Linked DNA regions of Xenopus tropicalis. The protein of the gene in region 1 purifies or fractionates together with the protein of each later gene. This does not show direct contact. Links are inferred from orthologs where the notes say so. Each region holds a gene or a part of one and is shown on either strand. Other genes may lie near its edges. The genes, in order: gnb1 and pfdn5.

Region 1 (3,823 bases):
AAGGAAAGGCAAAGTCACTTGGGGGTGCCAAAATGTTAGGCACCCCCAATCGCTTACCTTGTACCCCGGGCTGGTGCCCCTGTTAGGAGAAAACAGCACCAGCCCGGGGTACCTGTAGCGCAGCTCTTCCTCCTTCCGCCTTTGCTTTTGGAAGGACTTACGACGGGCGCATGCGCAGTAGAGTGAAAATCCGACTTCTCTGTTAAAGTTCGGCTTTTCACTCTACTGCGCATGCGCGCGATGACGGAAGGATGAAGAGCTGCAGCTACCCTGGCTGGTACTGATCTCTCCCAACAGGGGCACCAGCCTGGTGTAAAAGGTAAGCGATTTAAGTCACTTGGGGGTGCCTAACATAATTTAAACAATTAACTAAACCCAATAGGATTGTTTTACTTCCGATAAGAATTTGCATCTTTATTGGGATCATATACAAGGTACTGCTTTATTATTGCAGAGAAAAGGGGAATCAATTTAAAAATCTGAATTATTTGATTAAATTTTGAGTCTGTGGGAGGCAGGCTTCCTGTGATCAGTGCTTTCTGGATAACTGATCCCATACCAGTAGTTGTATTTAATAATTAGATTAGCTTAACCTGTAGTTGCTTATTTGGAGAGAGTTAAATATATTTTTAGAAAAATGCCTCTTAAAATCATAGCTAACTTATAGTTGTCACTTTGTTGGTGTGCAGTGTTCAGACACTTTATGATATCCTGTGCAACTATGTGCAGCCTTCTGGCTGGATTTTAGGCAGCCTGGTTTCAATCAGCTTTGAAGCATCATAGCCTTTGAATTAACAGTTCACTGGTGCAGGAAAGAAACTGAGATTTAGAGTAAACCAGCAGTAGGTTTCACATTAGCCTTTATCCTTTGTGGGCTTGTTTTAAATATTTATACAGTCTGTATAATTCAGATAATTATTGTTGAGATGTAATCCGCATTGTGGGTTACTTTAACTATCAGGAGAGAAGAAAGTTAGTTCACTTGATTGTAGTAACGTGTAGTTGTTTTATTTTTTTGCATTTTTGAAGTCTTAGAATTATTCAACATTTCTATTTTGAAATTTTAGGATCTCTGGTTTCTGGGGTCTCGCCATAGCAGTTAGTAAAAATGGAAAATTAATAACGAGTTTTTTTTCTTGCTCATGTAGTTGCTGACCCTTACAAATAGAAAGCACTTGCAAGCTGGAAAGAGTCGGAATTAACTTGAATGATTTTTGTATTAAAAGAACAAACCATTAGTTGCCCTTTCAGTACTGATATATATTTGAGTGTGCATAAATGTTGCTAATTTTCATTATTCATGCACAGTTCTTGGTAACAATCATTTTCTCTCTGTGAGTGATTGTGTCACTAATTCTAACTCTTGTTGTAGATAGTATATAAATGCTTCAGGCTGTACCTAGACTATACAGGTACATGTATAGGACCCGGTATCCAGAATGCTTGGGACCAAGGGTATTCCAGATAAGAGGTCTTTCAGTGATTTGGATCTCCATACCCTAGGTCTGCTAAAAAAAAAAAAAAAAACAGTAAAACATTAATGAAACCCAATAGAATTGTTTTGCATCCAATAAGGATGAATTATATCTTAGTTGGGATCAAGTACAAGGTACTGTTTTATTATTACAGAGAAAGAAAATTAATTTTAAAAATCTAAATTATTTAATTAAAATGGAGTCTATGGGAGACAGGCTTTTCAGTAAGATGGAGTTTTGTGGATAACAGGTTTCCGGATAACTGTTCCCATACCTCTACCAATAAGCATTGAAAGGCTTTGGCGTTTGGGAATACTGGAGTTGTAGTGTAACAAAAATGTGGTTGAAAATTGCCTAAAAAGTTGAACATGGGGTAGAAATAACGTTTTTTTCCCCTCCTATATCTGATCATTTTCCTGTAATCAGAGAATCAGTATTTCCCTTTTAATGTGTTTATGAGCTCTCCTTGATAATTTTTCACATTTAGGTTCATGCCATCCCGCTGCGTTCTTCTTGGGTAATGACTTGTGCATATGCTCCCTCTGGAAACTATGTTGCCTGTGGTGGTCTTGATAACATCTGCTCTATTTACAACCTCAAAACTCGTGAAGGAAATGTGCGGGTGAGCCGTGAATTGGCTGGGCATACAGGTAAGGCTTCTAAAGTTTAACTATAATAACTTATTGATAAGTGTGTAACCTAGTAATATTTTGTTGATGAGTAGGTTCCACTGAAGACATTGGTAAATGGCAAAAGCTTAACCATATTAACTCATCACAGCTGCCTCCTAATGCTCATACACTGGCATTATGAATAACATTTGCTACTTTCGCACTGGCTGAGGTGACATTTCAGATTGACTCTAATGTATCTGCAGCCTACAGGCTGGCAATAAAGTGATTCTGTCATGATTTATATGGTTTTTTATTTACATAGCAAATAATTCACTCTATCATTTAAAATGTTATTCTTGAGCCAAGAAATGTATTTTTTTACAGTTGTAATATTGGTGTGTAGGCAGCCGTCTCAATGAAAAATTCTGTTGTGTGATTCTGATGTGTTTTGAAAAAAACCTATTTTCCTGTGACCGTATTAATTTAAGGCAATAGTTGGAAGATTTTAGTATTACAATAGCTGTTGATATTATGCTTGTTTAAGAAACCATCCAAATCCCTTGTATTGCTTTAAGGCAGTGCTGTCCAACTTCTGTTGTACCGAGGGCCGGAATTTTTCCGACGTACGTGGTGGAGGGCCGATAATGGAAGCCAGTTTTGACCACTCCCCTTTTTGAAACCGCACCCACTTGAAACCACACCCATGTTATCACATGACCATACCCATATTAATGGTTGTAGTACAGCAAAAACCTGCCATACTCTGCCTGCCCTACCCTGCCTGTGTGTGCCATACTCTGCCTTCACTACCCTGCCTGTGTGTGCCATACTCTGCCTGCCCTACCCTGTCTGTGTGTGCCATACTCTGCCTTCCCTACCCTGCCTGTGTGTGCCATACTCTGCCTTCCCTACCCTGCCTGTGTGCCATACTTTCACTGTGTGTGCCATTCTTGGCTGGTTTGTGCCATACTTGGCCTGTGTGTGCCATACTCTGCCTGCCCTACCCTGCCTGTGTGTGCCATACTCTGCCTTCCCTACCCTGCCTGCGTGTGACATACTTTCACTGTGTTTGCCATTTTTGGCTGGTTTGTGCCATACTTGGCCTGTGTGTGCCATACTCTGCCTGTGTGTGCCATACTCTGCCTTCCCTACACTGCCTGTGTGTACCATACTTTGCTTGCCCTATGATGCCTGTGTGTATGGCACCCACAGGCAGCCTACAGTGACAAAATGCTGGCACTGCTCCTACAGTCTGCACAATAACTATATATTAAAAAAACTTTTTAATTGAAGTACCACCTCAGTATATGTTCTTTTTGTAGTGTGCAGGGATTATTTGTGGGTTTCTACTGCTCCTGAGGTGTGAACAGGGGAACAATGGGGGTGATTACAGCCTGAGCCTGAGGTGTGAACACTGCAGGGGGTGAACAATGCAGAGATTAAAAGGTGTGAACAACACAGGGGATTACATATTTAAACAATACAACCTGATTACAGCCTGAATCTGAGGTGGGAACCATGCAGGGGGGGCAGTTAATCTCAGTACTGATACCACTTAGAGCTTACACAAGAGTAAGCCATCAAAGCAGCCAGACAGGTGGGGGGCCACACAGAGGGGGGTCGCGGGCCGCATGCGGCCCGCGGGCCGCCAATTGGACAGCACTGCTTTAAGGCATCCAAGGGGGGGCAGGCCTAGGTAGGACTGCTTAGCCTAATGGCAATTAGCAGGTAAAT
Region 2 (4,427 bases), on another chromosome or scaffold:
GAGAGGGGTGTGAGTCTAGCAGGTGAAATGCTATCATGGTGCCTGTGGGGAGACCAAAGAATATCTCTGGCAGAAGTACTGGTGAAGAGAGCAGTATTATTAATAACATTTATTTATTAAGTGCCAACATATTCTACATATTCTACAATCAGTATTTTGAAGCATGTCAACTCTGAAAAGGAGATGCAAAAAGAAATGCAATGCTGCCCCCATGTGGAAGGCAGTTTAGAACATGTCCTATGAACTTTCACTGCAATAGATGCCTTTTAAGAAGAGGATTTAACACAAATTAATATGCTATGCAACATTCCAGTAACCCACAGATACTTCTAGGGTCATACCGAAGCCCATCAATAAAGCTAAGAAAGGTAACCTTAGACTGGCAGAAATACTTGTATTAAAAGCAGTCAAATCAATCCCGTAATGTTGGACAGCAACACAACCCCCATCAAAGCAATTACGAGAACATAAGCTTCTACATACTGTGCAACTTCAGTGGGTCTTAGCTCTTCAAGATTAATAATCAAGAGGATCACTGTTCTATAGCGTTTGGAACAAATACCTAGACACATTTGTCAATGGGAAAACAACACAAACAATTAGCCCCATTCGGGTTTACTAAATGTTGGGTGGAAAACTCTCTTTTGGAATAACTAAATCCACCAACTAACCAAACAAATTCTGCTCCCTCCTCCTCACTTGCCTAAAGACCAAAAAGGCATTACTTTGTATTTATTTTTATGTATTTTTTAAGAAATGCAACACTGTCTGGGACTGATGACACTACAACAGCAAGTCAAGTTAAAGTATTTTTTTTGTGACTACATTTTGCATTGTCCTGATGACTTGCTTTTGCCTGTAGAACTTTAATGTGTACTATTTTCATGTATGAGCATTCATATTATGGCTAATCTTTCTTTGTACACAAGAATGTGTGATACATGACTGCAAAATGTAAATTTTTAGTGAATTTCAAAATTTCTTAAAAAACAGTGCTTAACCTACTGCATAGATTCTTAAAATATTATATTGTTATGGGGGGGTCTCTCTTCTTCCGTTTCCTACTGTTTGTTTCCTACTCTATATGTTCCTCTATTCTTTCTTCTCTATTGATTGTTGAAATACCATGTTACTGGTAGAAATGAGGTAGTTTAATGTAACAATAGCATTTTGTGTACTTTTGCACTTATTCCTCTCTTTGCAAAATAAGAAAAAGAAAATCTAAAAAAAATATATATATATTTCTGCGATTTGACTTATTTATAAATATCATGTTAGCAAGCGGACCATCTGCCAAGTACACGGTCCCTTACATGTTAGTACGCATGCGTCGCAGCCTCCGGACTATCATAGAGCGCTAGCCGTGCGTACAGAGCGCCAAACAATATACGGTTTCCCAGCTAGACAGTCACTATAGTAATGTAGTAGGAAGGCGGGGTTCTTCCTCTCTCAAGATGGCGCAGACAGTGAACATTACCGACTTGTCTCTGCCGCAGTTGGAGGGATTGAAAAGTCAGTTGGACCAGGTATCTTAGTTAATCTTACATTGCCGTCTTAAATTGGGGATGCCTCTGTGTTGGTTTTTCCCCACGACTAAACGTAGTGTCCCACAACTGGCTTGGATGAGTTCTGGCCACCCCGTGGCTGTGGATCCCTTACTCCCAGAGTCCCACTGCAGCTTTTGCTGTCCCGCCCCAGCCTGGTGTTGCTCATACTCCGGGGTTACAGGGTTAGTAAGGCCTTCCTTATGTGCCTTTTCCTTTCATAGGAAGTGGAGTTCCTGTCCTCCTCCATCGCTCAGCTAAAGGTGGTTCAGACCAAGTATGTGGAGGCAAAGGAGTGCCTGAGTGTGCTGAACAAAAGCAATGAAGGTGAGTGACAGCGGCAGCCAGTTAGTAGGGTGTGTCAGTCGGCTTAGTTCCTCTCTCTAATAACCTGTATGTGTTTATCTGACAGGGAAGCAACTGCTTGTTCCCCTGACCAGCTCTGTATCCTTTTCATCACTATATTATGAAAAAGCCATATGGTGGCAAAACCAGTGAGCTGCTTCCAGTTTTAAAGTATGTTCTCTTCTATTTGTTTATTATATTATTAATGTAAGGAACGTTGTAAGTCTGTAGCAAGCTAAGTGTCAAAAATCTACTAAACAGTAATGCATTTTTATCCAAAGTTTAAACACTAAATGGCTAAACTGCTTAGGTGACTGCTTAAAAGAGTGTGATGATGGTTGTTATAGTGTAGGAAAAACATGTCAAGAATAGCAGCACGGTGTGTTTTTCCTGGGTACTTGGACAAAAATGTACTGTATACAGTCAGTCAGGCTATACAAAATATAGACCAATTGAAAAGTTGCTAATATTATAGGCCATTGTACAATGTACCAAAAGTTATCTTAAAGGTGAACTCCCCTTTTAATGAGCAAAAAAAAATAGAAAACCAGTATTTGCACAACAGTGTTTAAAGAAGAACAGTAGGTGTGTGGGTTTTTTCCCCCTTAACCTTTCATGTAGATGTATGTGCCTGGGACTCTTAATGATGTGTCAAATATACTGATCGATGTGGGTACTGGATATTATGTGGAAAAGGTGAGCTACTTTTTTGTTTGTTTTTTAGCTTAAGGTGTGACTGTGATGAGCAACCTACTGTTAACATTTTCTTGCGCAAAAGTTTGTTAGTATATTTCTAACTATACATAACACATTATTGCTACTCTTCAAACCATCTGGTGTGACAAACAGATTTAATTTTTATTGGTTGAATTAAAAGCAACTGGTTTATTTTTATTTTTTAAAATTTAGCGTGTTCTGGAACATGCACAGGTTATTCTCGCAGTTAAGATTGGCAGAACTTGTGCAAGTTTTGCCCAAGAGACCATTGGCTAGACCAGTAGGAAAGCGAAAAGCAGCAATAGGGAAATTTGACTACTTGTGTAAAGCTGCTGTACATATGCATAAGCCCTGTATAGGTAAATAATAATCCACACTTGCTTACTTAGTTGCCCTTTAATATCATACCACAATACATTCACAACAATGTAGCCATATCACTTCTAGAGGTAATTTGGTGCTGATATCACTCAGAGAAATTTACCTCTAGAAGTGATGGCACTTATTATAACTGAAAAAATAACTTGAAGCACTTATATTTATTATATATTATATATATTAGTGAACCTGGGCCTATGTGCTTTTACCCCAGAAAAAGTATTTTTTTGTTAAACTGTCTGCTTGCAAAGTGGGAGACTTAGGCAGCTGCAGTTCTCTGCAAGGAATTTGTTAGGCCTACAGCAGAGGATGTTAAGCTAAGCAATTTAACAGCAGTGTGCTTTGTAACCACTATATATATATATATATATATATTATATAATATATACATATTTTGGTTTCAGAGTACCAAGATAAGATGTTATTTTATTTTTAAAGGTGGCCATACATGTAGCAATTCCGATCTTTCCTGCGACCATGAGTTGCAGGAAAGATCGTTCGTTTCCCCCACTGACATTCAGAGTCATCGGATGTGAAGGTAGAAACAATAGGAATTCTACCTCCACCTGCCGGTTCAGCCCTGAACGCAGGTTTTGTTCGGGCGCCTTCAATGGCGCCCAGTCAAAATCTTTTAACCCGGCTGAGCGATGAGACAACCGATATCCGCAGCCTTTGCAATAACGGTCATCTTGTCGATCTGCCATACACGCACCAAATATCATACAAAACGAGGTTTTGTACAGTATCATCAGTGCGTGTATGGCCATCTTTACTCAGTCAAAATATAATGAATGCAGTGCACTTTAAGCTGACAGGATCTGTAGGTATCTGTTTCTGATAAATGTATCACTGGGCACTTGTAGTGTAAGTTTTTAATATAAGGAGATTCATGAATTCGGAAAGATATATGGTATGATTAAAGCTTAGTTAATTTTGAAGGCATATTGTGATTATTTGCCTTTACAGGGCACATATACCCACTGGTATAACTTAGGGCTGAACTTCACATGAGATTTTGTAGAATGGTGTTGGTTTGACAGATCGCATCCTGTCGAATGTAGTTGCATGGTTAAAAAATAATGGGACTGATAGAAAAATCTGATGTGTAAACTATATGAAAGCTTTGCCATCAGATGCAATGTGCCTTTTGGTAGTCGACTTTGCCTGCTGTGTCTTCATACAACCAGACAAAATCTCATAGTGTCTGAAAGAGATTTTTTCTCATTAAAATACATGTCTGATATAGACACGGAAACAGGATCATACAAAACATTGTGCTTGTTGCGTGACAAGATTTTGTGGGTCACACAAAATCTGACCCAAAAATTCTCATCAAAATCTCCTGTGTAGTTTAGCCCTTAAAAGGGCACTTCATCCAAAAATATTTTTTTACACAGTAAAGGAAATTATTATTCTAAGCAACTTTACAATATACATTCTTGA

What was found.
Region 2: the proteins of gnb1 (region 1) and pfdn5 purify together in Homo sapiens (co-immunoprecipitation; 3 studies listed by BioGRID and IntAct, with this or other methods). This does not show direct contact. The link is inferred for Xenopus tropicalis from reciprocal best matches to the Homo sapiens genes GNB1 and PFDN5.

What each region holds. Positions count from the first base shown.
Region 1 is NC_030683.2:91,940,232-91,944,054, forward strand, and holds part of gnb1 (guanine nucleotide-binding protein G(I)/G(S)/G(T) subunit beta-1), read left to right. Parts: intron 1-1,962; coding exon 1,963-2,125; intron 2,126-3,823. UniProt on the Homo sapiens protein: Guanine nucleotide-binding proteins (G proteins) are involved as a modulator or transducer in various transmembrane signaling systems.
Region 2 is NC_030678.2:147,137,609-147,142,035, reverse strand, and holds the start of pfdn5 (prefoldin subunit 5), read left to right. Parts: upstream 1-1,433; 5' UTR 1,434-1,454; coding exon 1,455-1,526; intron 1,527-1,768; coding exon 1,769-1,871; intron 1,872-1,956; coding exon 1,957-1,988; intron 1,989-2,510; coding exon 2,511-2,585; intron 2,586-4,427. UniProt on the Homo sapiens protein: Binds specifically to cytosolic chaperonin (c-CPN) and transfers target proteins to it. Binds to nascent polypeptide chain and promotes folding in an environment in which there are many competing pathways for nonnative proteins.